Kluyveromyces lactis: one gene and its partners. The protein of the gene in region 1 binds, or shares a complex with, the protein of each later gene. Links are inferred from orthologs where the notes say so. Each region holds a gene or a part of one and is shown in the gene's direction. Other genes may lie near its edges.

Evidence for each region.
Region 2: MRPL16 (region 1) and MRPL39 share a complex: the UniProt entries of both Saccharomyces cerevisiae proteins name them as parts of the mitochondrial large ribosomal subunit. The link is inferred for Kluyveromyces lactis from reciprocal best matches to the Saccharomyces cerevisiae genes MRPL16 and MRPL39.
Region 3: MRPL16 (region 1) and MRPL38 share a complex: the UniProt entries of both Saccharomyces cerevisiae proteins name them as parts of the mitochondrial large ribosomal subunit. The link is inferred for Kluyveromyces lactis from reciprocal best matches to the Saccharomyces cerevisiae genes MRPL16 and MRPL38.
Region 4: MRPL16 (region 1) and MRP7 share a complex: the UniProt entries of both Saccharomyces cerevisiae proteins name them as parts of the mitochondrial large ribosomal subunit. The link is inferred for Kluyveromyces lactis from reciprocal best matches to the Saccharomyces cerevisiae genes MRPL16 and MRP7.
Region 5: MRPL16 (region 1) and MRPL24 share a complex: the UniProt entries of both Saccharomyces cerevisiae proteins name them as parts of the mitochondrial large ribosomal subunit. The link is inferred for Kluyveromyces lactis from reciprocal best matches to the Saccharomyces cerevisiae genes MRPL16 and MRPL24.
Region 6: MRPL16 (region 1) and MRPL4 share a complex: the UniProt entries of both Saccharomyces cerevisiae proteins name them as parts of the mitochondrial large ribosomal subunit. The link is inferred for Kluyveromyces lactis from reciprocal best matches to the Saccharomyces cerevisiae genes MRPL16 and MRPL4.
Region 7: MRPL16 (region 1) and MRX14 share a complex: the UniProt entries of both Saccharomyces cerevisiae proteins name them as parts of the mitochondrial large ribosomal subunit. The link is inferred for Kluyveromyces lactis from reciprocal best matches to the Saccharomyces cerevisiae genes MRPL16 and MRX14.

Annotation. Positions count from the first base shown.
Region 1 is NC_006038.1:1,063,436-1,067,719, forward strand, and holds MRPL16 (mitochondrial 54S ribosomal protein uL16m), read left to right. Parts: upstream 1-2,555; coding exon 2,556-3,221; downstream 3,222-4,284. Other genes in the region: TAH18 (NAPDH-dependent diflavin reductase), read right to left, coding at 1-439; MSF1 (phenylalanine--tRNA ligase), read right to left, coding at 798-2,186; RFC5 (replication factor C subunit 5), read right to left, coding at 3,373-4,284. UniProt on the Saccharomyces cerevisiae protein: Component of the mitochondrial ribosome (mitoribosome), a dedicated translation machinery responsible for the synthesis of mitochondrial genome-encoded proteins, including at least some of the essential transmembrane subunits of the mitochondrial respiratory chain.
Region 2 is NC_006038.1:66,445-70,129, forward strand, and holds MRPL39 (mitochondrial 54S ribosomal protein bL33m), read left to right. Parts: upstream 1-1,278; coding exon 1,279-1,494; downstream 1,495-3,685. Other genes in the region: TIF35 (translation initiation factor eIF3 core subunit g), read right to left, coding at 1-348; transcription elongation factor SPT5, read right to left, coding at 1,798-3,685. UniProt on the Saccharomyces cerevisiae protein: Component of the mitochondrial ribosome (mitoribosome), a dedicated translation machinery responsible for the synthesis of mitochondrial genome-encoded proteins, including at least some of the essential transmembrane subunits of the mitochondrial respiratory chain.
Region 3 is NC_006037.1:612,983-616,938, forward strand, and holds MRPL38 (mitochondrial 54S ribosomal protein uL14m), read left to right. Parts: upstream 1-1,996; coding exon 1,997-2,413; downstream 2,414-3,956. Other genes in the region: protein kinase NNK1, read left to right, coding at 1-1,535; putative serine/threonine protein kinase KKQ8, read right to left, coding at 2,704-3,956. UniProt on the Saccharomyces cerevisiae protein: Component of the mitochondrial ribosome (mitoribosome), a dedicated translation machinery responsible for the synthesis of mitochondrial genome-encoded proteins, including at least some of the essential transmembrane subunits of the mitochondrial respiratory chain.
Region 4 is NC_006042.1:1,139,096-1,143,719, reverse strand, and holds MRP7 (mitochondrial 54S ribosomal protein bL27m), read left to right. Parts: upstream 1-2,114; coding exon 2,115-3,209; downstream 3,210-4,624. Other genes in the region: GCN1 (Gcn1p), read left to right, coding at 1-126; SGF29 (Sgf29p), read right to left, coding at 745-1,485; ILV6 (acetolactate synthase regulatory subunit), read right to left, coding at 3,479-4,363. UniProt on the Saccharomyces cerevisiae protein: Component of the mitochondrial ribosome (mitoribosome), a dedicated translation machinery responsible for the synthesis of mitochondrial genome-encoded proteins, including at least some of the essential transmembrane subunits of the mitochondrial respiratory chain.
Region 5 is NC_006040.1:1,063,869-1,068,090, reverse strand, and holds MRPL24 (mitochondrial 54S ribosomal protein bL28m), read left to right. Parts: upstream 1-2,362; coding exon 2,363-3,130; downstream 3,131-4,222. Other genes in the region: KLLA0_D12584g (uncharacterized protein), read left to right, coding at 1-2,059; KLLA0_D12540g (60S ribosomal protein eL36), read left to right, coding at 3,798-3,813. UniProt on the Saccharomyces cerevisiae protein: Component of the mitochondrial ribosome (mitoribosome), a dedicated translation machinery responsible for the synthesis of mitochondrial genome-encoded proteins, including at least some of the essential transmembrane subunits of the mitochondrial respiratory chain.
Region 6 is NC_006038.1:467,175-471,603, reverse strand, and holds MRPL4 (mitochondrial 54S ribosomal protein uL29m), read left to right. Parts: upstream 1-2,338; coding exon 2,339-3,337; downstream 3,338-4,429. Other genes in the region: NTE1 (lysophospholipase), read left to right, coding at 1-1,139; U4/U6-U5 snRNP complex subunit LSM3, read right to left, coding at 1,424-1,675; 8-oxoguanine glycosylase OGG1, read right to left, coding at 3,529-4,429. UniProt on the Saccharomyces cerevisiae protein: Component of the mitochondrial ribosome (mitoribosome), a dedicated translation machinery responsible for the synthesis of mitochondrial genome-encoded proteins, including at least some of the essential transmembrane subunits of the mitochondrial respiratory chain.
Region 7 is NC_006042.1:1,780,321-1,784,306, forward strand, and holds MRX14 (mitochondrial 54S ribosomal protein bL34m), read left to right. Parts: upstream 1-2,503; coding exon 2,504-2,854; downstream 2,855-3,986. Other genes in the region: PDS1 (securin), read right to left, coding at 1-564; GEP5 (Gep5p), read left to right, coding at 1,174-2,091; MRPL1 (mitochondrial 54S ribosomal protein uL1m), read right to left, coding at 3,177-3,977. UniProt on the Saccharomyces cerevisiae protein: Component of the mitochondrial ribosome (mitoribosome), a dedicated translation machinery responsible for the synthesis of mitochondrial genome-encoded proteins, including at least some of the essential transmembrane subunits of the mitochondrial respiratory chain.

The DNA of each region.
Region 1 (4,284 bases):
CAGCAAGTCCCAACTCATCAGCTTCTAAGCGTGGAAAAATCTCACTAGCGCCAAGTTGATTGACAATACGTTCATGAAGCTTTCTGATACCAAAGTTGAATCTTGGATACGAGGAATCACCCAACCCAAGCATGGCAACGTTAACATGATCTAAAAGATCCGCAGGAAGTGTAGATTTCTTCAAAAACTGCCAGAGAGTCCCCTGAGCCCGTCCATTACAGTTCTCTCTTGCGTTACGCGGTAGTTCTCCTTGTCCAGTCGTAGAGCAGATGATAAACAGGTACTTGCACTGCAGAACGCTTTTCGGATGGTAATCACCGATCTTAATCAATGTATGTGAGAAATGCAGTCTCTTTAACTTATGAGAAAGAATATGCGCAAAATCTTGCGCATTTCCTGTCTCAGAACCATACAATATGACAATCTTCTTGTTCTGCATGGTTTCAGTAGTCCGAAATACTTCTTAGCAGCTTTAAATGTGTCTTGAATCGTTTACAGTATATAATCTTTGATGTTCATCACATGTAATATGTAAGCTATCTCAGTATTTTTCACCTTGAAATCTTGCTGTTAAGAGAGATATGCGATAATAACGATGAACAGACGATGAATTAATGACAGTGTCGTTGTATTTCTTCTTAGATAGTGTTCAAAAAGAACTGTATGGTTACTAATTACCCACAGATCTTATTGATCACTAACCGTTACATATTGAAATGAATTTTTTTTATACTATTAACATGAAATCGCATCACTAGTAAATACGACGAATTTATATATAATATTTTGTATCTTGGTTATCTCAGTTCAACGCCGTATAGTTTCACCAGGGTATCACGAACTTTATCCTGCAGCTCATTGACTTCCTCGTTGGTGACGTTTCTGTCCATTGATTGATAGTTAATACGGTAACATAATGACTTTCTACCGGTTTTGGGGTGTGTGAATGAATCAATTAATTTGACACATTCAACCAAATCTCCTGCTACGTTTCTAACGATTTCCATTAGATCATTCTCATGGATAATGTCAAAGTTCTTATCTGTTGGAAGCCAGAAGGCCACGTCCCTGATGGTACCTGGATATTTAGAGTACGGTTTGAATTTGTTGATTGTGCCCTCTTTGAATTGGGAATGGAACCTTTCGTCAAGGGTCCAGAATAATCTGATATCAGGGATCTCGAATAATAGCATTGCAATGCGGTCAAGGCCTAATCCAAAAGCCCAACCGATGTTTTGATTTTGTTCATATCCAGCTTTTAATAAAACGTCTTCACGGATAAGACCGCAACCGCAGAGCTCAAGCCAATTGTTTTGCCAGAACACTTCAATTTCCCATGATGGTGCAGTCCATGGGAAATAAGCTTGAATCCATCTAACCTTCAACTCTTCTCCCTTCACGTTACCCATACTTGCCAACTTTCTCTTGAAGACTTCCAATACAACAAGCTCCAAAGATCTTTTCAAATGGCGAGAACATAAATCGACTTCTTCCATCGTCATGTATTCCTGCTTTGGATTACCTTCCAAGGAAACGTTATCTTCCACGACAAGTTTCACTGGGTCGTCTGCCAAAGTTTTCTCCAATCTCTCGAGATCTTCTTTAATCTTTAATAAATGTTGGTTATCCGGTTCCCTTTTCCAAACTCTACCACCTTCCATTTGATGGAACACCGGATAATGAGTCCTGTCAATCTCATCTCTTCTATAGACATCGGCAGAGATTAAAAATCCAGGCTTATCAGTCTTACCCACATGGCCAGGAACAAACCCATTGATATTCTTGAAACATTCCAACTCATGGGCAGATGTATGCGTTCTTAACAGATGACAATCGTTCAAGTAATAGGTATCAGATTTCGATCTACCGGGGTGATCTTCTGGGAATCCCAAAGAATCAAAATTCTCATGTACCGTAACCGCAGGTTTGAAATCGTTATAGATCTCGAATGAGTGATGAGGGTCGTTCAGCTTGTCCTCGATAACACTTCTTAAGATCCCAACAGGGTGTGATGGTTTCAAATAAACAGCGCGATCAGTCAAATTCAAAATCGAACTAGTTACATTCGTCTTATCTGATACTGGGTACGTCTTTCCATTCACAGAAAGTGTCTGTAATGCCACATTGGAGGTGCTAAACAACCTTAAACATGGTCTCAAAGTTGACAATATCGTCCTATTCGACATCGTTTCGGTATTAAAGAACCCTTAATAACAGTAAAACTGGGGCAATTCAATCAACAAAACAAAGGTAATCCCTTAGCAATGATATTACTAGTGATATTTCACTGCCTGAAATCACCAGAACAGGTATATCAAGTGTTGTTTAACGAGACTTTTGTATCTTCTTTTGAATGTATGTAGAAGGTCACATGATTTCAAGATATCTTCAACTTCACCAAAAATTTTTCAATAATGAAAAGCTTTAAGAGTAAGTAAAAGAAGATCCAGAGCATAGAAATTGATTTGAAAAGCAGCATAAAACAGTCCCTCGCGCCTCATTGCAAGGATCTTATTTCAGATCAGTGAGCCTCCTTTATCGTAAATTAGATCACCATGTTTTCCAGCGTTTTCAAGACTGGATTTCGCTCACTAAATCCATTAGAAAGTCTGCAAGTAACCGCTAGGCGTTTTACACATGAATATGCTCCACGTTTCAAGAACCAGACTAAGAAGCAAAAGGGTCGTGTGCCAGTGCGTACCGGTGGCTCTACTAAGGGTAATTCGCTTCAATTTGGTCAATTTGGTTTAAGATTGAAGTCTGAAGGTGTGAGACTTACTGCGTTACAGTTGAAGGAAGCCGATAATGCTATTATGAGATACGTTAGACCTTTGAATAACGGTCAATTATGGCGTCGTTTGTGTACAAACATTGCTGTTTGTATCAAGGGTAATGAGACCAGAATGGGTAAAGGTAAGGGTGGATTTGACCATTGGATGGTCAGAGTACCCACCGGTAAAGTGATCTTTGAGATGGCAGGTGACAATCTACACGAGAAAGTAGCACGTGAGGCGTTTAGAAAGGCAGCAACCAAGCTTCCTGGCCTATACGAATTCATATCGAAAGATTCTCTGGTAAGAGTAGGTATCAAGAGTGTAAAAGATCCAAAGGACGATCCAAAGATCAATTACTTTGAAGAACTAAAGAAGAAACCTACAAAGGAATATATTACAAAGTTGAAGTCCCAGCAACCGGAATATAGAATGTTCAGGGCTCGTTGAAATAGATCGATGTGTGTATATAAACGACTCTTTTACGTATAACTTTTGTGAGAGCTAATCCCACTATCTGTAAATAGGCTATCAAAGATTCAAGATTTAAAGTCCCAAATGAGTAAAGTTTGGTTGTTTGTCAAACTACAAAAGTTAATACTTACGTATATTTATCTATTTCACACATTGTCCTTGCAATGAACCCTTCTAAATGGTAGATTGCTTTGTTTCCAAGGTTGAGACGGTGATCAAAAGTGCATGCAGTATCGATAATTGCCAACTTCAACGGATCTGACTGGGCATCTGAAAGCAATTGCGTCGTTAATTCATGGACTATGGTTTTGGCAGGAATACAATGGGCTAATAGATCATAATTTATGGAACGGCATTCTACAAGGTTATTAACAGTTCTTTCTTTTAATATTTTCCTAGCCATTTTATGGATCACCAATTGCCAATCAGGTCTGTTCAAAGGTGTATCGTTTCTTAAATGCAATTCATTTTGTAGTGAGGTAGATTCTAGTGCTAAGAGTGACATTCTCAAGTTCCCCTTTGACAGATTCGCTATCCTCTCTAGACAATTGCCCTCGGCAGTTATTTTTTCTTTGGAACAACAATCCTGCAGGATAGACACAGTTTCTTGCAAACTTGGTGATGGTACTCTAACTAGCAAGCAACGAGACTTGATAGGAGCAATGATACTGGACATTGAATCACATAGCATTATAAGCCTGATGTTACCAGAGTATTTTTCCATAGTTCTTCTTAATGCTGCCTGGGCATCTCTAGTCAACGAGTCTGCCTCGTTGATGATAACGCACTTGTAACGATGTGCCAAACCATCCTTGGAGTCCTGGAAATCTACTTGTTCCATTTGAGCGACTTCCTTAATCAATTCTTGTATCACAACACGATCGTTGTTACCAATATCGCTCGGAGTAATCTCTAAATGGTAGGGACTACTGACTACATTCAACTCCAGCTTACGGTTGGATGGTGTGACGAACTGTCTAACGTCGATCTTCAGCTTGTAAACCCCAGAACCAAATATTTCTTGCAACAGTGCCATACA
Region 2 (3,685 bases), about 1.0 Mb from region 1:
ATGCGCACCACCACAAATTCTACAAGTAATTACCTTTTGAGTCGAGTTAGCAGCCTTCTCCTTTGCCTTTTCTTCTTCCATTTCCTTCCAGTTAGGAGACAAGTCTAACTCTAATTCTTCACCTAATTGAGTGGTTGAAATATCTGGTCCTGGGGCAGCTCCCTTATCAGCACCATATTTCTTCCAATTTCTTCTCAAGGCGATGTTCTTGTTAACTTTCTCGGTGACAGTAATTTCCTTAACCTTCTGCGTAACCTTGTACTTCTTACCATCTTGGATTTTGAAACTGATGACGGTTTTGGAACCATCGTCATTCTCGATGATTCTTGGTTCAGGAATAGCTGACATGTTGTGAATCTTTGTATTATCTCCTTAAAAAAATAGGATTGTAGAAAAAATTCCTTTAATTTCTAGACGCGTGTTATACTATCAACAATTAAGAAGCCCAATTCTGATTTGAGGTATGTCAAATATCCTCCTTTCAAGTTATGGGTCTGTAGATAATCTGATCGATATCAATTAATTCTCTTTGAAGAAAAAAACTTCGCACAGATGATAGTCTCAAATTTTTGTTTCAGTTCTTTATTGAAACACGTAAATCGGATACACTTGGCGCAGTATACTCCTTTCTTCTATCAAACAGCTGGATGAAACCCTATGCACCTTCTAGGGTCACCTTACCATTACGTTTATTTTAGCAGGTAACTTAGAACTCATTTGAATTTCCATTTTTTTCTCTTCTCTTTCGCTGATTTTGCCTCTGTCTCTATGCGATGAGCTTTGGAAAATTTTCAAAATTTTCATCAGTAATGTATATCGTGTTGCACGGGTGTAACAGAGATCCGTAAGCTCCAGCACTAATTAGTTACCTTAATTATACCGTACTGTGTACACCAATCAATTCAGTTAATACCTTCTTGTTGATAAAAGCGTAGAGTAACTATATGCGAATACTTAACTTGACTTGTGAATATGTATCTGTTTCACGTGATATGAAGTACGGATCATTTTTATGTATATTGCATATTCATCAAAACGTATGTAGTGATTTGACAAAATTTTGATTATCCATTACTTCTTCTTTAGCAATGTATCCGACCCAATCAATACTGAAAGTAGTGGGAGTTCATCAATTTCTGCATAGGACGGTGTATCATCGGAAAGTATTAAGGGCAGAAAGTAATATTATCCTGCGTACTTCTCTGTCTCAAATTCAAATTCAAGGAATTTCACAGAGCTAAGGATATCATATATAAACTGCAAACGAACAGGAAAACGATGGCCAAGGCTAAGACAAAGACTACAGTTATCAAACTGATATCAACTGCTATGACAGGTGTGAGCCGTCATGTCACGATAAATAGAGCTGCACCATTAGTGACGCAGGTGAGGTACGACCCTGTAGCTAAACGTCATGTTTTGTTCAAAGAGGCCAAGAAAAGAAAGGTTGCAGAGAGGAAACCATTGGACTTCTTACGTACCGCAAGACGTTAATGAATTGTATTTAACAATTTAACCACACCATTTGCATGTATATAGAAAACACTCACACTGCAATAACTACCGTTGAAATAGACGTGATTTAAGAGTTCTATAGTAGTATCGGTTTGTAGTAAAGAAACGAAATTTTTAACTAAATTACATTTACTTAATTCACTTATTTAATTGGTTTCTGAGACTAATTTGGGCAAGACTATATATACAACATCCACATCGCGTGGAGTAATTTGGAGATAATAAGATGAACAATTGATAGGTTTGTAAATTATCGTGAGGCAATAACTTGTATGATTATTTCTAATTATTTCCACCCCACGTACTTCCACCACCTCTAGCATCCTGATTACCCCAAGCAGATCTATTGCCGCTATTGTTGTGTTGGGATGCATTGCCCCATGCGGATCTCTCTCCTGAGTTATGCTGCGATTGATTGTTACCCCAAGTGGAACTTCCACCGGTGTTTTTAGATCGTTGTGATTTATTACCACTGCCACCCCAGGCAGAGACACCTCCCTGGTTACCACCCCAGGTAGAAGTACCTCCATAGCTTGATTTATTGCCACCGCCCCAGGCAGAAGCTGCTCCTGATTCTCCGCTTGCTGCCCAAGAAGAGGCGCCTCCATAACTAGATTTATTACCCCAAGTGGACGCACCACCCCAAGTTGATGTAGCACCTTGCCCACCCCAGGTGGAAGTGTTTCCAGCAGCTCCACCCCAGGCAGAAGCACCACCAGGGCCTTGTCCGCCCCATGTCGAAGCACCACCCCAGGATGAAGTTCCTCCGTTCTGGCCAACCGCAGGAGTTTTACCGCCATCAAATGCATTCCAACCAGGAGTCATTCCACCAGGAAGTTGTTGCGGAGTGTTCGTTGCCACCGCACCACCGGCAGCCATGTGTCTTGGTGCACTGACATAGCTTGGGCCCAATCTGGTATGTGGAGTTCTACCACGTCTACTAACAAGTTCATCGTATGTTATACCTTCACCACCTTCATGACTGAAGTAAGTAAGTTTTCTTTTGTCTATTGTAATATGCTTATTTTTGGAGTGCAATTCAATAGTAGCCTTATCTCCATTGACGTCTTTGACAATACCCAACTGCCCCTTGTATCCCGCAGAACGTATCCTAACAGTTTTGTTCAAAGCGACGTCACGGCCAACTAACCGCGTCTGCTGAGTAGTTTGTGGTGGTCCCATCTTAGACGCAATATTTGGATTTATTTTAGATAAATCCAATGCTGACGACATCAAGTTTTCTTTTGAGGCGACAGCCTCGACATTCATTGGATTAACAACGAAAACACCGGCATTTTCCGTTATTGTTTTCGATCTAATGAAAATATGTTGGTTTTGAACGTAGAGTACTTGTCCCTCTCTACGGGAACCGATCTTTTCTCTTACTACATCGCCAATTTTTATTTCTCTACCATTACCATCGACAGCAGCTACTTTCGCTCTTGCTACATTGATCTTGGCAAGAATTGAGCCTTTAGTAACAGTAGCCACTTTACCGGAGTCGTCAATAATCTTGAAAATATCATGTCCAGCCTGGATCACACATGCCACGTTTTTGGCACTTAACTCAACAATGTCATGTAGAGCGTACTCGCTTGATGTCGGAGTAGAATCCATAGATTTACTCAAGTTATTCGCAGAGATTGTCAAATTTTCTCTAGTTTGGTCAGAAACAAATGTGACTTGACCGTTCTGCACCAAAAGAACCAAACCAGCGTTACCTTCATGTTCACCAGCTATTACTGTGACATGGTCACCAAGTTCGAAAATTTTTCTTAGAGATGCAATTGGGAACTCTAATGATTTATCTGAAAAGCCCGATAGTTTAACGCTGATGACGTCTTTAGAACTTCTAGTCACCACACCTCTAGATCCACGTTGTTCCCCGGTCAACACTTCAACACGGTCACCTGGTTGAAACATAGCTTTAGAAGCTTGAGCTTTTTTCATAGTTTGAGCAATAGCTGCTAGATCGACATCACCTTCTTTACTGCCGAACCTTGATAATTCTTCCACCGTAGGTTGGATATTCTTTGTATCAAGATACTGAATCTTAAAAGATTTGAAAAGATAACCGTCAACATAATCTTCCTTCCTGTAAGTGAAGTGCCTGTCATCTCTTTTGAATAAGTTGGCTTGGTCTAACCTTAATGCCATAGTAGGGTTAAAT
Region 3 (3,956 bases), on another chromosome or scaffold:
AGCCTCAAATTCCTATAGCAAGACCGAGCTCATCATCGTTATTTTCTGCATCGTCTCTGAGAACTCCACCTGCCCAAATTGAAATATCAGAACATGACCTAGATAGAATTATGAGATCTATTCCATCGGATTTCATCAATATGCCATTTTCCCAACGTAAGAAGATCATACAGGATTTAAGTCCCAACCATGACTATAAGACTATTATGAACATTTTGAAACGTGAGAAATTAAGCCACAGTGGCTCAACACATAACGTGAGATCCAGACATGGATCAGTTGCATCGAAATACTTGAACTCTTTTACCCCCGGTTCTAGTTCTTTCAAGAGGGACGATAAAGGGTCTTTCATTTTGGGTCATAGACTTGGCAAAATAATAGGGTTCGGCGCTTGGGGTATGATCAGGGAATGTTTCCCTTCTACAGATGAATCTCAAAACCAGAATAATACTTGTTGCAAGGCGATGAAGATTATCAAGTTCAAGGACAATCGAAGTGTAAAGAGGCAAGTACTACGTGAAATCTCAATATGGTCGAAACTTTCCCACAATAATATTCTTCCTTTAACAAAATGGAAATTAGACGATGATCTGGTGGCATATTGTTTAACAGATAAGATCGATCATGGAACCTTATACGATTTAGTTGTTTCTTGGGGCGAATGTGGTAATTCAAAGATTAGTTTAAGAGAAAGGTGTCAAGCTACATCCGCCTTAGCGTTACAATTAATTGATGCTGTACAATATATGCATTCTAAATTCATTGCACATGGAGATATAAAGTTGGAAAATTGCCTTCTAGAAAAAAAGTCTGAGAACTACAAAGATTGGAAGCTTGTATTATGCGATTTTGGCATGAGTCACTTTTATGGCCATTTCAAAGATCAGATGGAAAATGAATCAATTCAACTGAAATCCCTATTTGATGGGTCTACTCTTCACTTGAAACGAAGACCCTCAATTCCAAGATCTTCCTCTTCAACGAATAATTCTTCTTTACGGTTGAAATCAAGGTTAAGACAAATAGTGAACGATAAAAAATTAATTCATGATGATACGACTTTGGGTATTCACTCCGTACCAAAGAGCACTCGTTCTAACCTAACCAGCTCGTTGAACCAAAAAACAGACATTACATTAACACCTAACAAAGATTTGCATGAACATATCAACGATGACATGAGCAGAATTGGCTCTTTACCATACGCTGCTCCGGAGTTACTAGAACCCAACCCTCCTCCCATTGGACCAAGCGCTGATATATGGGCCATTGGTGTTTTAATTTTCACCATGCTTACCGGCAAATTACCTTTTAAACATGAATACGAGCCCAGACTTCGTGCAATAATAACTTCAGGTAAATATGATAAAACGACACTACGCCAAGTTTGTAACTGTGATATGAACTCGAACTTGGGTGTAGATGACCAGGTGGAATTCCAAGGTCTATTCAACGCAGTGAAGGGCTGCTTAACGAAAGACTTAACCCGGAGATGGGAACTTGATATGGTGAAAGTAGCTCTGGGTAAGCATTGAAACTAATCCTAAACTAACAAAATATTTTCTACTATTCTGTCCTTGTCAGTTATAACCCTTAATTTTTAATTCAACAAGCATACCAATAGCATTAATAGTAACGCATACTGTTACATTGACCTTTTTTCTGATGTTTTACCATTCTCAACAGCATAATACTTAATAATTTTACTGAAGTATATAACGATAACTAATGAAAACACCAGCTGTCTTAACAATGACGGCGTTGTAAGCACTTTATTTGTATGTAGTAAGCGTTGATAATGGCGTTGATTAGCCAATAATAAATCAATCACGTGATATACATCAATTATGGGTTAAGAAAAAATTTGATGAAACCAGACATAGAAAGCTTTAATCCTTTCTCTAACGATAGTCCAGGAAGAAAAGCTGTGCTTTCCCGATCAGTAGCAGCCTGCAGCACACGACCTAACTGAAGTTCACACTGTGACTGTTATAACATGATTTATTTGAAGTCTTTTTTGAAAGTCATTGACAACTCAGGTGCTCAAATTGCCGAATGTATCAAAGTACTTGGAAAAGGTTCGCCAAAATCTCCAGGTAGAATAGGTGACAAAATCGTCTGTGTGGTGAAGAAGGCTAAACCATTAACACAAACTATTACTGGGCAATCCAATAACAACAGAGTGAAGAAAGGTGATATTGTACACGCTGTGGTGGTACGTACCAAGCAAAGAAATATGATACGTCCTGATGGATCAACAATTGCGTTCGGTGACAATGCTTGTGTATTAATCAACAAGAATAATGGTGAACCTCTAGGGTCAAGAATTATGGGTAACGATGGTGTTGTCGGCAGAGAACTAAGGGAAAAGGGCTACAACAAGATTTGCTCTCTAGCAAGTAAAGTTTTGTAAATATGTTTCACCACTGGTAAATATCGATTACGACTGCGCAGGGCTTTTAGAATCATGTATATAGATAATAAAAAATAGAAAATATCGTTAGTAAAGTTTATGAAAATGCCATGATAAATATGATGGATACGCGACTACCAACTTATTGCTCATTGACAGTGATATCAATATTTTATAAGTGTTTCAAAGAGATGTATGTTTATCTTAAATATAGATAAAAATGATGCGAAAGAAACTAATCTAAATCTGCCAAAGTAGCAAGGCCTTCAGCTATGAAACAAATTTTGGTGTTACACCGGCCTTGGTGGATATGTAACGCAGCATTTTGTCCTCTTCATCCACGAACTTTTTAGCAATGAATCCACCGTTATCCTTTTATTCGGATCAACTTGGAAGATATGATAAAGTGCAGCAGTTCTGTACCGGTTCATACCTGGAGACACATGTTTCATTTCGTCAAATACATAATATTGTCCATGTTTTTCCATATCCTCGAGGAATGCGTCATATACTGAATCCTTGCCTTTGATAGCAATTTTCCATAAATAATGGCCTAAAACCATAACACAGTAGATAATACCACAGCTCCAGCAATCAACTAGTCTTGGATCGTATTGTTGTTTTGGAATAAACTCCTCAGGCGCAACATAAGGCTCAGATCCTGCTGGTCCGGTTTGGAAATGTGCTTTCTTTTCCCAGGCTGTTTGGAACACAGAACTTGTACCAAAATCACATATTTTTAATACACCTGTAGGGAGAAATAGCAAGTTTTCTGGTTTAATATCACAATGAGCTACACCGTGAGCATGCATGTATTGAATACCATGTAGTAGTTGTTTCATGAAGCAATCTGCTTCTAATGGATGTAAAACTGAATCAGATTTTGAGCTTCTTGTAATCAAGCTGTATAGATCACCTGAAGGGCAAAATTCCATTACTTCATAAAATGCGTTAGGTGTTTGCATTAAATCAATAACGTTTAAAATGTTAGGATGTGTTCTTGCCGAAGATCTTCTGCTTTTGTTACCACCACTCAACGATAATCCTATCACAAATTCTGAGGTTAGTCTTGTGCTAAACTTCTTTGGAGGCTCATCAGGTCTTGGCTTCAGTTCTTTTACCGCATAGAATAACTTGTTATCATGGAAATATGTATTATCTTTCAGATCAGGTTCATCTGGGTCAATAAATTTATAGCATAGTTTTACAACCCCATAGGCACCTTGTCCAATGATACCGATCGACTTCCCGTATTTCTCACATAAATGCTGCTTTCGTGGAGCAGAAGAAGGTTCATTGGAGGAAACTGCATCAGACTTAGAGCCCTTCAAACAAAATCCGTTATCGATCTTTTCGGTTAATTGGTTTATCAGTTTCAATTCGTTAGCACCAATGACGGATTTTTCGTTAACAATCTTTGGTACATTGGCTGATTTATTTGGTCCCTTATAACCATCTTCATCAGATTCGGATTCGTCATCAGATGGGTTCGAATTTCCAGAGGACTGGTTGTCATAATCCGCATCTGAATCGGAATCAACAC
Region 4 (4,624 bases), on another chromosome or scaffold:
CTAGCTGCTGTTGAAAGAGACAAGATTGCAGCCGGTGGAGATGCCGAGGCGATGTTCTCTGATAGATTTGAAGATGAAAATGAAATCTGGACCGTTGGTGGTGTTGAGCTAAACACTGATATTTAGAACAACAGCACAAACCCAACCTCTGTAATGACAAACATAATATTATACAGATTTATATATCTCACTGACTTGTAAGAGACACTTACAAAATTATTACTGCAAAGCAATCACGATTTACTAGATGTACTTTGAAATGGTGACTTAAACTTGTTCATGTGGAACCTGAAGTCTCTCTGAATCAATATAATCAATCAACCTCCATACCCATTGTTCTACTATCGAATACTTCTGCCACCAAAAGATACATACATCTTTGTTCGCTGGGCAGGTGGTTAATATCCGGAATAATAAAGGCAAAATTGGAGCCTTCATCAGTTTTAGAACCAGATTCACTAACAATAGCACAAAACACAGTTTTGTTATTGATTTAAGTGTCACTTTGTTAAAAAGGTACACCATGAATCATATACAAAATATTCGACAATAAGAAACTAGAACTATGGTATTTAATGTCTGTCGCGTCTGATGCGATAAATCACAAACAGGCACCGCTACTAGTTCCTACATTATCTCAATGTGATACGGTTTATTTAATGTTCTTTCATAATTTTTTTTTCTTTATTGTTACAGGCTATGGAAAATTACATACATTTCGTGAACGTGATATAATTAAGAAACTCATCGTCTAGAGGGGAAAGGAAGAACTAATCTTCTTTCCACCTCAGTCTCCTTGTCTATTTCCTCTTCACCGTCGAATCGTAGCTTACATGTCCCATCTCTTTTGCTTCCGCAAACAATAGCTGGATAGAAAGTCGTTGTTTCTGGATATCTTGCCAAAACTTTTGTATTCGCTGGATAATTCGGAGTCTGGGTTCTTTTCATAGTCACGGGCGGGATCAAGAGGATCTCTTTCGAGTTACATTTGAATATACCACCTGGTTTCCCAAATTCATCGGGTTCTGGATCTTTCACTTCAAACCGGAGTCCGTCCCCAGAAACTTTTGTGCATATGCACTGGATCCATTCGCCAGTCTTTTTAGATTTATATGCAACTTCGGAACCAACCTCAATTGGTTCACTTGGGTTGAATTGACTGGTCCAATGTGATCTACCAACAACACTCGATTCAGGGATATGCGTCGAACTGGATTCCTCCTTTAATATAGGTTCCTCTTCCACTGGATAATTATCTAATATGTATGAAATGTTCTCTACCAAATCTCTGCAGTAATTTCTCATCTTTTCATTTACAGACTGACGAGCCTCTAATTTCTCATGGATATCAGCCAATTGATTCAAATTCATATTCTGGAAATTCATATTCTTCGGATCTAAAGACTCAAACCCCGCAATATCTCCTATTTTATATAGATCTTGTAATTGAGTCACGGCAAGACCCCATCTATCTTCCGTTGCCATTTTCGCTAGAATCACTGATATATTTTGTTTTATTTTTTTTTTATCTATGGGCTGTCGGTTCTTAGTATTCCTATTTCAATTAGATAATATGGGCTTCACCAGCACGATAATTAATTTGGGAAACTTCTATAAATGGACGTCCTGTTTATTCAAACGTAAATCTGAAAGGTGAAGACTTCTTTTCGATGCAAGCAGTGTCGGTTTCTTGATGTTTTGTACTTAGAGAAATATGAGTTTTTCGTGCTGGAAGAGAACATCAAAACGTATATAGTGATGGTAGATCTTTAATTGGAACCTCAGTTTCGAATAACTTTGACGTGAATTAGACGTTTACTCCTTCTCAAGCATGAAAAATTCACTATGGTATCGAAAGAACTCTCAGCAATAGATGAAATTGGTAAAATGTATAAATCAATACTTTCAACTCTTAAACAGTCAGTTACACGAACCTTCGAAGGGCTATATCTTGTTGGATTTCGTTGTTACCCTACCTTACAATCCGCCATACTGTGGAAAATTTTTGTCACTAAAATCCTATCTTAAATACATTAAGTACAGATACACGCAGAAATACAGTTACTGTGACATTGCTTGATACTGTTCGGACCAGGCCTACGAAACAACGCATAATGTTCTCATCTTCGTGGCAACAAGTTCCCAAGTTTGTGGTGCAGCAGGTGCGTACTGCAACCAAGCGTGCAGCAGGTTCTCGTACCAGTATGAAGGACTCTGCTGGTCGTAGATTGGGTCCAAAAAAATACGAGGGTCAAGCCACTCAAGTTGGTGAGATCATCATGAGACAACGTGGTACCAAGTTTTATCCTGGTGAAAATGTAGGCATCGGTAAAGATCATACGCTTTTCGCTTTGGAGCCGGGTTATGTGAGATACTATTTGGATCCATTTCATCCAGGTAAGAAATTCATTGGTGTATCATTATACAAGGATGTAAAGCTTCCTTTGCCGCATTTCGAACCACGTTTGAGAAGATTCGGCAAGGCCATCATTGAGGATGAAGAGAAAGCCATTGCAGAAGAGAACGCTTTACCAAGAAAGATTTATTTGCTGAAGGATGAATTGATCAAGAAACAGCAAGAACGTGAGATTAAACGTGAAGAGTTGAAGGCAGAATACAGCAAGATAATTTCAGATCTGAAAGTTGAGCTGGATCAACAAGAACTTGCGTTTGCATTACCATATTTGCTCAGATGGAGAACTTGTTTGAAGAATGGGTTCAATGAATCCGATGCCCGATTTAATTCGTACTACTATTTGGAACAAGAACTTAAATTGAAGATGAGAAACCAAGAAAAATCTAAGTTGGACGACAAACTAACATTGTTGAAACAGGTCTCGACCAAATTGAATGAATCATTGTCATTTAACAACAAGCTTGAATTAACTAAATACATTTCTCCAGAAGAAAAGAATACTCTAAAGACACAACTAATTACTGATTTGAAGGCAATTGATATTAAGGACAAGAACAGTAAGAAGCAAGTACTAGCCAAGTTTACTGATGCAAAGAACTTCTTGACGTTATCTGAAGAGGTGAGACTACGCAGAAAATTCTTGAAGCCAGTGAAACCAGAAACAGAATTGAAGAAATTGGAAGAACCACTCAAACCTTCCAAGAAAAATCTAACCACCAGACGTTACAACTACGAACAAAACACGATAGATGTCATTACAAGACCAAAGACCGATTTCTTGAGCAAATTGTAAATCTTCCCCAAGTCGTTACGTAACAAACCATTTAGAGCCTTGTACATATTAACAAAAGAACCACAACAATCATCATAGTTTAAACTGAAAAAAACGAAAGTTTTTTAGAGACTATATATCATTTGGAAAGGTTAATTCCATATTATATCGTTAACGTATTTAATTTGTCTATATGTGTGAGACAAAATCCAAAACATACTCTTACATTACTATTTTTTTGATATTGGATTGTTTTGAGGTACAAAACTATGGCAGGTGAGCCCTTTGGATCAACCAGGAGGCAATTGAGAGATATCAACGATGTCATTCATCTTGCTTTGAGCATCATCTTCATCACCGACAGATAAATGGGTTCTTGGTAGAGCCATCATACCTGATCTTGCCACTTCCAAGATACCGAAAGGTTCCACAAGTTTCAAGAATGCAGAGATACGGGATGGTTTAGCACATAATTCCACAATACAACTTTGTTCAGCGATATCAACAATCTTACCACCAAAGTTACCAGTCAAGTTAGAGATGTCGTTTAAATGTTCATGCTTCAATCTCAATACTTGGGACAGTGGAAGGTTGGAAGGATGGAATTGCTGTTGTCTTATTCTTTCAACGGTATCAGTATTTTCATCTTGTTCATGGTGATGAATCAAATCCTCGAAGTATTCAGCACCCAACAAAGAGATTCTTGTCATCAACAATTCTCTTTCTATGATGGTGGAATGAGAGTAATCCAACACGACAAATACTGGTACCAAATCTTCGATTTGTCTTCTGGCTTGTTCGATGACACCGTCTTGACCTTGCAACACAATGGTCATACGGGATAAATCTTTCACTTCAGTGTTACAGACCACAAGGGAATCGATATTGAAGCCTCTTGCAGCTAGAGTACCTGAGACTAACGATAGAACACCTGGCTCGTTTTGAACCAAACAGTTCAAAACATGTTGTTTCTTTGGCTCCTTTGAGATTACTGGATTTTCATATAGGATCGATGAGATGGCACTGTTAGTAGACCAAGATGGAGTTTCGATCGTTGGTAAAGGAGGTCTTGCCTTATTTCTATGCAGTTGCTTATAAGCAAGAGCCGAAGTCGAAGAAGACTTTGCTCTGGCAAAGCTTCTCAATGCTAGAGGAACCACTCTAGTTTTTAGCATTGCTTAAAGAAGGTTTTCGACTGAGTTCGTTAACCTTTCAGTGGAACAGAGACGAAGTGTAACCAAGAAAGAATATACACAGTGGAAACAGATATAAAAACCCACTTATAACTTATATATATGGGGAAAGTAGAACAAAAGCAGATGAGAGAAGTGCTTCATAGAAGGATGGAACGGTGGATCAAAGGTTTGAATGGTGTAGCTGAGTCATATTGAGAGTGAAAAAAAAAAATTCTTTTTCCAATTCAGGTCATCGCGAAC
Region 5 (4,222 bases), on another chromosome or scaffold:
ATTAGATGAGTCCGAGAATGTTGAGCCATCAGGGGACAAAATAGAAATAGAAACAGAACAGCCGGATGTAGCAGACGCACCTGCTAATGACGGTGCTCCCAGTGCTAATGAAATAAAGGAGACTGATGTCAGTTTTGCTGCTACGGAAAAGAAGAATAATGAAGATTCTCCTCCTATCACTGGTGCTATTGAGGTGAAGGAAGAAGTTGCAGATGAACCAGTGGATAGTTCAACGGTAGAAAGTGAAGCACCAGATACAGTGGAGGTTGTTAATAATGAAACCGAACCAATTGATACTGATAAGGATAGTTTATCTAATGAGAGTGTGATAAAATCCAAGCAAGAGATTTTAGAACAGAAGATTGAGTCATTCAATAACGAAACTAAGCCACCACATTTACCTCCAAGGGACCACATTGCGGGAGAGAAACCACCACTTCCTTCAAGATCTCATGTGGCAACGTCTTTATCTGGACCTGTACATTTCGTACCTCCACCATTGTCCGAGGAAATGAAGTCTCCCAAGTTTCGTGCTCATTTTAATCAGCATAAACGTTCCGACAGCAGTGATTTCGATTTGATATTGAACAGATTCATTCAAAACGAAACCGAATTGGAACTAAGAGATGACAAAGAGCGTGAGCATGCAAAAGAAGGTACCAAGACACTAAGAGAAGAATATGATAGCTTACTAGATCATGCGGACAAAGAATTGGTACAATACGATTGGCCATTCTGGAGTAAGCTGGTTCATAATTTTAGCGATATAGTCAAGGATGACTCAAAGAAATTAGAAACTGAAGTAGGGAAAGGTATCCCAACTCAAGTCCGTGGTATTATATGGCAGCTACTAACCAGTTCAAATTACAAGGAGATGGAGGAGTTATACTGTTCCTTACTTCTATTGGAGTCACCGCATGAAAAGGCAATCAAAAGAGATTTATCTAGAACGAAGTTCATCCCAGAAGGTAAGACAGATTCTTTATTCAGCGTGCTCAAGGCTTACTCTCTTTATGACCCACCAGTTGGTTACACACAGGGCATGGGTTTTATTGCTACTACTTTAATATTGAACTGTGAAGAAGAATGGCAAGCGTTTTCTCTATTAACGAAACTCATGAAAGTATACGGATTAAGGGATTTATTCTTGCCGGGAATGCCTGGCCTGATGTTGAAATTGTACCAATTTGATACACTTTTGGAGGAAAATGATCCTCAATTGTATAACCATTTGATCAGGCAGGGAATAAGATCTACAATGTTTGCAACTCAATGGTTCCTGACGATGTTCGCATACAAATTTCCCCTTGAATTCGTTCTCAGAATCATGGATATTGTCATACTTGAAGGTATCGAATCGATGCTAAAATTCAGTTTAACGTTGATGTTAAAGAACAGTCGTAATTTGATCATTCTCAGTTTCGATTCTCTCTTAGACTTCTTGAAGGAGGACCTTTTCCAACACTATGCTTCTAAGGAGAACCCAGAAGAGTACGATATTGATAGATTCATCTCTGATTCGTTGGAAATCAAATTAACTCCATTGCAATTGGAGCGTTACGTGAAAGAGTACGATGAGATTCACAAGTTGGAAACGGAAAAGGAACAACAATATGAGGAACAAAGAATTAAAAACAGACAGCTTCAAAAAGAGTTGAAGAAATTAGAAAATGACTATTCGCTATTAAACAGAGAGCATATCACTATTGCCAATGAACTAATTGAAAACAGACTTCGGATGGAAACTCTTCAGGACGAAAATAAGGATTTATTACTAGAGATAGAAGATTTGAAGAAACAACTGGAACGTGAACTTTATAAACAAACGTTACCTAATCCAGATGCTGAAATTCCCACAGATTTGAAAGCAGATTTGAATAGAACAATGGAAAGAAATCTGGAAGTTATGGACGAAAATCAAGAGCTCAGAACACGCCTTGACGAATTAGAAAAAGAGAACTATGAATTACGCACAGGTAAGACTTGGACCAAAGATGCCACCAATCCAAAGGGAAATCGTCTCGGGAATTGGGCTTTCAAATCACCATGGAAGAAATGAGAAAAATTGCAACAGGGACCTCATTCACAATATCCATCCAGCCGTACATATATACATACCCTTCATACATACATGATACCGCCAACCATTACGCAGAGGTGTATTCTAATCATAAATTTCCTTATGCTTTACCATTCTCGCTGTATACGGTTTTGATCTTTCCAAAGCTTATTCAAAATTTTAGAAAATAACGACTTGATACATGCACTAAGGTGAAGAGAAGGAGCTTGAACCTAGTATGAAGCTAGTTGGTCTAAGAGTCTCTGTACGTTCACCAATAAGCACGGAGATCGTTCATCTGGAATGAAGTTTTTTCCAAGTTCCCAAAGAGGGTTTTCCACTCTTAGCCACCTCCTCAGAGAATGGAGATTAGTTGAAAGCAGACAGATCCCAACTCCAAAGACGTATCAAGTCGGCGACAGCAAGCCATTATATATCCCAAAGGAGAAGAAGGAATTCCCTGATTATCCATACGGAGAATCTCCAATTTACAAACAGAGTAACAAAGGTTTATACGGTGCGTCTTTCATCCAATTCGGTAATAACATCGCTGAATCGAAGACAAAAACCAGGAGATCATGGAGTCCAAACGTTATTAGAAAAGGACTATGGAGTGAGACTTTGAACAGAAAGATTAGTATTAAGATGACAGCAAAAGTTTTAAGAACAATTACCAAGGAAGGTGGTATTGACAACTATTTGACTAAGGAAAAGGCCGCCAGAATTAAGGAATTGGGACCTACTGGTTGGAAACTCCGTTACAGACTACTGAACTCTAAGGAAAAAGCTGCCAATCCTGTACATAAGGACGCTGAGACTGTCACAGATGCCAATGGCAACGAAGTCACCGTATTGTACAAAGTTGTTGTCGATGGAGAACCATTGAGAATTACTGCTGGTAAGCGTAAACTATTGCATACCCTTTTCCCATTGGAAAAGATGGAACACAAAGCGGATGGATTAGATCTATCGTTTAAGAAATTCATGGACCAATTTGCTACCCGTGACGTGGCAGACATCGTATCGAGATTAAAGGCCTTGAATTTCGATTTGAGTACGATTACTGTATGAGAACTGAATAGATTTTGTTCCAATTTTATATAAAAGCTTGTAAACAATGAGAAAATAGATTCTACCATGAGCTGGGAGGATGCTTGAAGACTATGCGTTAGTTGTCCGACTGACCGATGCAAGAGTTAATCACCCACTGTTCAATTGAATTGAACGGTGTGCATGTGACTGTTGCACCCAGACATTATTGACTGTTGCACCCATACATACTCAATTTCTGCTGAAAATGAGAATGTTTCCATACTAGGAAATTATTTTCTCATGTCCACCAAATCCGCTGAGCTGACGGTAGGATGCACAGACACATCCCATCCGTCTTCGTTGCTTGCTTCGAGCTGGGCAGGGCCTGTCCCGTTTCCTCCCTAAGCTGGACTGCCCGGTCTGGGCCTGGACATTCCACCAAACTGGCCGCTGGACTGCCCACTTAGACCCCAGGCTAGGCATCTCATGGTTTCCATTCACTTCCCATACCCTCCCAAACACTCCTCCGGGTAATCATCCTCTGGAACTTCTATACTGCTACAGCTTTTCACAATTTTTCAAAGTATTATAAAAATTTTCTGACGATTAGAGCATCAATATATACACTGTTAATAGATATATGGTAGTGTTACAGCTTGTTTAATCTGTTGTTTTAATACCATCACGAACGACAAAGAGTAACAAAATGGCCGTTAAGTCAGGTATGTGATTTGAATGAATGAATGAACGAAGAAACTAGCGAACGAACGAATATTTTGAGGGAGATATCAGTAACAAAGGACCTAGAATTGGAATAAGACCGTATAACCAAATGAATCAAACGAGGAACAGTAATATATTGTGGGAATACATTGCACTGAGGAAAGAATTATTGAAAGTGAGATGAGTGACATAATTATGATTGCAGCACAGATATCGATGATTATAAAAGTGTAGACATGATTCATGGTAAGACAGTGCACGTATTTGGTGCACCGCCCCTCTCTCAAAAGAAGACAACGTAGTTTGGAACCTCTGTTTATCTAAAAGGACCATGATTTACTAACATTTTCGTATATTTATATGTCTATTGACAACTTAAGGTTGTTAATACCCATACTTATAACTGTC
Region 6 (4,429 bases), about 600 kb from region 1:
TAAAACCGCTATCCCAATTAGTCGAGAAGTTCAAGGAGAATACAAAAAAGACACAAGAGAACTTTGTAAAGTTTTTACCAGATTCAATCAAAACCACTGTGGAAACATTATCTGGAAAATACATCGATCCTAAACCTAATCCAAAATTCTACACTTCAGTTGATCCTATCAAGAATGATTTCCTAAGACTAGCTAGAACTCTTTCAGGCCAAGCTGTTGGTCTAGTTCTTGGTGGAGGAGGGGCACGTGGATTAAGTCATCTTGGTATCATTAAGGCTCTAGAGGAGCAAGGAATTCCAATTGATATAATCGGAGGAACGTCAATTGGTTCGTTCGTTGGAGGTTTATATGCCATGGACTACGATCTTGTTCCTATATATGGCCGAGTCAAGAAGTTCGCTGGTAGAGTTGGTTCACTATGGAGAATGCTAAGTGATTTGACTTGGCCAGTTACATCATACACTACAGGACATGAGTTTAATCGTGGTATATGGAAATCTTTTAGAGACTACAGGATTGAAGATTTTTGGATTTCATATTACTGTAACTCGACGAATATTACAGAGTCAGTTCAAGAGATTCACTCATCAGGTTTTGCATGGCGTTATATTAGAGCTTCTATGTCACTTGCGGGCCTTCTTCCTCCAATTGTGGATAACGGTAATATGTTACTAGATGGAGGTTATGTCGACAACTTACCAGTGACCGAAATGACACAGAGAGGTTGTAAAATTGTGTTTGCAGTAGACGTTGGATCAGTCGATGATAGGACTCCAATGTCATACGGAGACTCTTTGAACGGATTTTGGATTGTTTTAAATAGATGGAATCCATTTTCGAAACACCCCAACATTCCTAATATGGCGGAAATACAAATGAGATTAGGATATGTTGCTTCTGTCAATGCCTTAGAAAGGGCTAAAAGTACACCAGGTGTGGTGTACATCAGGCCTCCTATTGAGAACTATGCGACTTTGGATTTTGGTAAGTTTGAAGAAATATACCAAGTAGGCTACGCGTACGGTCATGACTTTTTACAACATCTGCAAGAGAAAAACGAATTACCGCCAATTGCGGGTACCACAACTTCTGCTTATGCCGACAAAGAAAACATGTTACAAAGACGGAACAGTATATAAAACGAATTAACAGGAAACGCTACCCACATTTGTCGATGGTGGACATGCAGGACATAAAATCAAAGCCATGGCAATTAACGTTATAGTTTCTAAGTAACTGTAAACCGAAAGTTAAAAAAAAATTGAATAAACTAAATATATACTATACAAATGTTAGCGATGGATGTATATTGGGGGCAAAATGAGGATAGCTCACATCGCACTCAATCAATAATGAGGACATGAAGTTATTTCTTCGAATTTCCCTTATTAAATGTTGAAAGAAGAAGAAGGATACTGGACAATCATTCATCTTCTGGTGTTGTTACAAGGGCCACAAGACCACCTCTAACGAAAATCATTTCCGAAAACCTTTCGGTCGTTTTCAAATCTCCTTCTACTAGTTCATAAATGGTTTCCTTTGAATCTGAAAGAACAATATTACAATGTGAGTCGAAAGCCTGAAGAGTACCCACTAATTCACGAGCATCACGTAATTTCACATATACTCGCTCGTCTAAATTCAATTTTAATAGATCCAGAGGCGTATCAGACATCTTTGCGGCGTAAAGTGTGTATGTCTTCTATATTTATGATGCAGTCGTATTCTTACAATAACCAATAATGCAATTGATAGAGGGTACAGCAGTTAGGTTGAATGGTTTCCTTTGTCAGTTTATCAAATGGAGTACCAGGTATAGTAGAGTAGTCGATATACAATCCAAGGCTTAGTTCCATTCACACTCCAGAGCATCCTCCATAACATACTTAATCACCAAATTATTGTTAACGTACTAATTGATAAAAAGTGTTGAAGTTTTGAATTTCGATGTCAATGGAAAGCTCTGAATTATAGAATAATCAGTTAAACCAGGGAAGGTACACGTTTCCAACCATCTTTGAATGATACTGTACCTGTTGAAAGATGGCCAGGATATGCGATGCTAGTTTATCATCTTATTGCACTATGCTTCACTAAGAGAGTCAATAGTCAACCTGATATTCACGTGACTATCACATGACAAAGGCCGGGCAACCTAATGACGGACCCCGAATCAACTCTGTTCGATCAAAAAATTTTTATAACATTTAAGCAGAGGAAAGCTGAATAGGAATTAAAACATGGATGAATCAGCTAGCTGTCGTGATATTGAAGTGTTCTACCTCGATTGAGTAGCTGCAGGACGTGTTTATTATAGCAGGGATATTATATTTTCAAAATGTTCCCAGCAAGAAGGGGATTGCATACTACTTCTAGAGCATGTGCCAGGACGAGATTCACCAAACCTAAACCCAAACCAGCCAAGAGAGAGAACGTTAGACTACCTACCCAGAGGACCCATCACGATAATGATTTAAAGATTACAGCTCCTATTCCACCGGCTGCTGCCAATTTGACATGTCCAGATGATCATCCTTTATGGCAATTTTTCTCCGAGAAGAAGTTTTTAAGAACGCCCGAGGAATTGGATACGCTTTCGAGACCTTGGACCATCCCAGAGTTGAGAAGAAAATCGTTCACTGACCTACATTCTTTGTGGTACACATGTTTGAAAGAACGTAACGTATTAGCACGTGAAAACCATTTGGTGCAGTTCAACTTTGAAGCACAAACCGAAGCATACCAAGATATCTCCGAAAAGATCAGAACGACAATGTGGAGAATAAGACACGTCCTTAGCGAACGAGACTGGGCATTCAAGATAGCGAATGAGAAATTTGCTGTTGAAAAACAAGTATTTATCGAATCATTCGAAAAAGACTTTTTAGAAGCTCCTGCTAACGAAGATGAAGAGATTTTCGAATCATTGCAACGTTTTCAATATGCCATATACGGTATCTCTGAGTACATCGATGAGAACAAAGTGGACAGAACATTTGTGGATGGATTGAAAGCGGTTGCAACATTGAAGTTAAAGAAATTTGCACTAAGAAACGAGGACATCAAGAACTTTTTAGAAGAATCTAACAATACAATTGTGGATGCAGGTGAATCCTTCCTTCTGTATACATCAGAAAACACAGAATCTGCCATCGCAGAAGCATGTCAAGCGGTAAGGGAGTTGAGAGAAAATGGCTCCTCTGTGTCTAGATACGATGAATTGGAAACTGTTCAAGAATATGTTAATAAATTAGCTGAGGCTCAAATGGCAAAGGTAACAGAAGCGGAAATACAGCTGCAAGAAGAAGATGCAAAAAACAACGCTAATACACTATGATATTAATGCCATCGAAGTGATTGTATAAAGAGATAAGTGTAACCGTCCATTTGGATGAACCCAGCCTTCCTGTACATATGTATACACCAACTTAAATAACGGAATATAAAACAAAAAATTTCCTTCGACAACACTTTAATTTGACGAATAAGAATTGTATTTAAAGAGAGTTTTATTTGCAGTCAATTAATTCAATAGACCTTTTTAGCCTTTTTTACCGCTCTCCGTAGCGGCCTCCCAGTAATGCTATACTCTATCGACATAGTATCTTCAATTTTAACCGTGGACAAAGAATCTTCCGTACTGATCTCTGCCTCGTCTTTGACTACAACTTTAAAGTCTTCTTCTTCTCCAGATGCATCATAGTCCAGTTTGCGTCTTTTCACTAATTTATCACTTGTACTTGCTCCAACTGTTTTCCCAATTTCTTGTGCGAAAAGGACACATTGTGCCCAGCCCGCGTATGGGCCCCATAGATCCTGGAGCTTCCTTCTGTACATATCAAGTTCATAGTTCACCTTCTTACGTGTAATCGGTAACTTTTTGTATTCAGCCTGCAGTTCACTGATTTCCTGCTTAGTGTTGTTTAATTTGTAGTCCCTCGATGCAATCCTTGCGATGTGTACATCGACAGGAACTACCTCGTCAAATCCCAACCCTCCCATGAGAAGCACACAATCAGCTACTTTCGGACCCACACCTGGATACGCCATCAACTTCTCTTTGACATCTTGATACCCCATTTTACCCTTAATGCGCCAACTGAGCATATACTCTGAATCAGACATATCGCCTTTTTCCATAGACATCAGTTGAGCAGTTCCAATGATATATTTGGCCCTATAACCAAAGCCAAGATCTCTTAGTTTTTCTTCAGATGCTCTTTCTACGATCTGATCCGAACTTGGGAACGAATACTGCTTAGCACCATCAAACTCTGCAATTTCATCACCAAATTCAGTGGCCAAGGAATGGCACATTTTAGTGATTCTTGATATATTATTATTACTAGAACAAATGAAAGAGCATAAAGTTTCCCAGGGATTCTGGTTCAGTACTCTCACTCCTCTATGTTCCTTATTTTGAAATCCC
Region 7 (3,986 bases), on another chromosome or scaffold:
ATGATGCTGAAGTTTCTCGATGGATTCCTTATCAAAGGGGTCGTACCCATTAGGTATATACGGTAGTTCTTTTTGTCTCTTGGGTGCATACTCAATGTTTAGTTCATCTTCTTTCTCTCTGATAAGGGCTTTTAATCCGTTGCCAAACCCAAGGTTTAACGATTTTCCGCTGGGAAATATGGGTAAATCATCCTCCTCATCCTCCTCATCTTCGTCGTCATTCTTTTCATTTAGCTCTGTATCTTTCAGCACCAATGACTTCGTTCGTGGCATAAAAGTGTTCATCCCCAGGACACTTCCGTATTTCTTCAGTTTATTTTCAGGCATATTCTTCATAAAGCTACTGGCGGGCCTTTTTAAAGGGTGATCACTCTTTCCCAACGCAGCATTATTCTTCACACTTAGTATAGATTGCGTCCTGTTATTATCTTTGCTAGCTAGTGGGCGTCTGTTGCCCCGTACTAATGAGTCCGTCCGCTTCATCTGGTTTAGAGGGGTCCTCAGACCCAAATCATTGTCAGGATCTTGGACGGATATGATATTCTCCTTCCCTTCGTTCGGCATAGCTATTTGAATCTGTATATAGCCAATATCTCTTCTAGTCTGACTTCACGCTAGCTTAACAGACAAAATTGGAATATCTTACCGTTGATTGCTCGGCTTTGAACGACCTTGAGCTCTTACTGTTTGTAAATTTTGAGACAGTTTTTGTTATGTTTGTATATTTGTGTTGTTGTTTTTGATCGAATTTGGTGAATCAAACTGAGTATATGTGGTGTATGGATGTTACGGTGATACTGGATACATCTTCATTGCTTAGTACTCATGAAAATACTCCAAAAGAATCCGGAATGTCGCGATGCTTTGAGACTATGCCCACGTCAACAAGGAGCAGTAGCAGTGCCTACTACAAAATGTGAGTTTGTGTCGCTGTTCTTCCTGGTTTCGTTTCGTGTCTGGCTTTCCAAATTGCAATATGGAATAGTAAGTAGGTACGAAAATTTTCTAGCCTAGAGCACACACATGACGATCTTCATACAGAGAACAGGCTCGGAAGAGGTTCTGTATTAATCTAAAGACGAAGGTTATTACTGTTTAAAATAGGTCATAATCGAATGGACATACTGTGAAGTATTGTGCGTATTTTTTTGACAACAGTTTTGGAGGTTGACGATGAAGGCTAGTCTTCTGAGAACTTCGAAATTATACAAGGGTCTTCATTCAATAACTAAAGACGCCATTTCGAAGGTGGACACTTTCCCCAAGAATAAGCAACATGAAACGCTACATCGGTTAAACTCTTTCAATGAGAATCCAACACGCAAGACCTTGGAGAAATTAGTCTATTCTGTTCATTTCCATTTGTTGAACGATCCTCCTAAACACGTAGACATATTGAGACAATACCCTAATGAGTTGGCAAAATTTTGGCCCTATGAAATGCAGCACTCGATTTTAGAAATGGATGACCCAAATCTAACATCTCAAACGATTTTATGGTCTCGTAACAATAAGGATGCTTTGGATTTCTTGAGCTTCAATCGTCATAAGTGGCTGCGGCCGAAAAACTGGCAGACTCCGAATGAGGAACTTATAAAAGATATCACAGGAATTGACGGTCTTCAATCAACTCAAATTACAGAAGTATTAAGACTCCCTGCAGAAAAGATAAAGGAGACACTACGGCAAATTTTCGAGCATTACTATTTCTTGAAGACAAATCCGAAACTATGCGCTACAAAAAAACTCCAGGCACCAATCGTTGAGATCGGAATGAAACCTGATGGTTTCGATATAGCCGACATCAGGATCGATAACTTGTTTAAGAAAAAGGTCAAGCTAATTAGTGACCTGCTCTACTCGCAAAATCCGGTGCTGACTTCAGATGCAGAGTCTATATTAACGTCAATAGTTAACGACCCAGATCTCAATAGGCGAACGAAAAGATTGTATAAAAATGTTGCCAGCAGATCTTACCTTTTCAAAGATGGGAAGTTCGAAATAAGTGAACTTGCTAGAGGCGGATTTGTCCTGTCGAAGGAAAATTTGAGCGAGAACTTAGCTGCTGCCCTTGAGGAAGAACATAATTGACTTATGAACACACATCACGTGATATATAATTTACCTACAGCTACCATTTTAGCTCAATGTAAATAGAAAACACTTTAATAATAATGTTAGCCAGGAAATGAAACCGCCAATACACTTATTGTAACAGACTAGTCTAAGACCGATTTGAAGTTTCAGCGGTTTGCTAGAAGCCAAGTTTGTTCGCTTCCACAGATGCTTTCACTATTTCCAACATCCATCGATATTTTCATACATTTACATTAGTCTCGAGAAAGAAAAAATTTGAATTCAAAGAAATCAAACGAAGAGAAACCAGGACATATTTCTTGAAGACGAAGTCTCCTAAAAGTAGTCGCCCGAACTACTCATTAGTTATCGATAAGGATTTAATTCGAAGTGAAGAACAATTAAAATAAAATCTCATCCAGTCGTTATGAGTTTTATAACAAGAAATCTTCTTCAGTGGACCTCAAAACGTACATTAACCAGTTTCTCTAGTTTCTCACCTTTAAGAACACTAGACTCACGTCTTCATAGACCTTTGGCGCAAGTCAATCCAATGGAAATCACTTTACAATCTCAAACACAAGCAAATGGCTCATCAATATTTGGTATGTTGTTCGATTTGACTCAGAGAAGATGGAAAAGTAGAGGTAACACTTTCCAACCGAGTACTTTAAAGAGAAAGAGAAGAGTGGGGTTCCTAGCAAGGGCAAGATCTAGAAGTGGACAACAGATACTTAAAAGAAGAAAGAATAAAGGCAGATGGTATTTGACTTATTAGTTCTGTTCAACTTTCCAATCAAACCAGGAACGTTATGGAAGCGCCTGATTATAAAGAATGGCTGAATCTCCTGTATATATATCCACATCGTCATTATGTATTTTAAGAAAACGGAACAGTTTTGATTTTAGCTTTGCCATCAGAAAGCTGGCATGACATTAAGATGATTCTATCGGATAGGTTTATAGTTATCAATTGCAGAAGGAATCTTTTTTCTATTAACGATTTCTATGTACATGGGCATTATTTCTGAAGTAAGTTTCATTCTATCTTGACAAGGACAACAATTCCAGTTATTGTTCATAAAAATTGGGTTGCTTTATTAAGCAAAGTCAATCACAATACCAGGACCGTGTGTACTTGTCAGCGTAGTTTGGGACAATATGCTTGGTTTTTTCGTTTGTTGATTGGTGATAGATTGTTTGAAAGCCTTCTGTGTTGCCAACAAGTTCTCTAGAACTTCCTTGTCAGTGAAATGGGTCTTGGCAACACCTAAACTAATACTGTTACCACGTTGTCTGAATGGAACAGAGCTCATACTATCTTTAATCAATGGCTCAAGATCTTCGGCGACGGTTCCCTTCTTGGCAGTTGGCAGTAAACCACGAGGACCCAAAATTCTACCAACTTGAGAAGCAAGTTGTGGAACAATATCTGGAGTTGCAAAAGCCTTGTCAAAGTCGATACTGACTTCACCAGCCTTGATTTGACTTACTAAATCTGAACCGCCGACTAAATGAACACTGTATTTATCTTTCATCAAAGCCGCTTGTGCCTCGTCATTAGTGAAGACAGCAACTTTCACATCTTTAAGAGGTTTGCCGAAGGAAACATTACCTGTAAGAGGGGGGACACCTCTTTCTGCTACCACCAATGTAGTTAACGTGATGGTTTGTTGGCTTGCTGGTTGCCCGACTTCGATTGCACGTAAGTATCTTAGTGCTCTAGAAACTGGCATATACAGTGGATGGTCACTGGCCGGAGTTTTTGCTTGCAATCTTCTTTGAACCATTTTTCTTAGCTCCCTCTTTCTAAGTTGCTCTTTAGTCAACTTAGTACCCGTTTCTTCCGCTAGACGGAAGGACGTTATCTGGAACTGCCTGGTGAATATTCTTGGAAACATCTTGCCGAC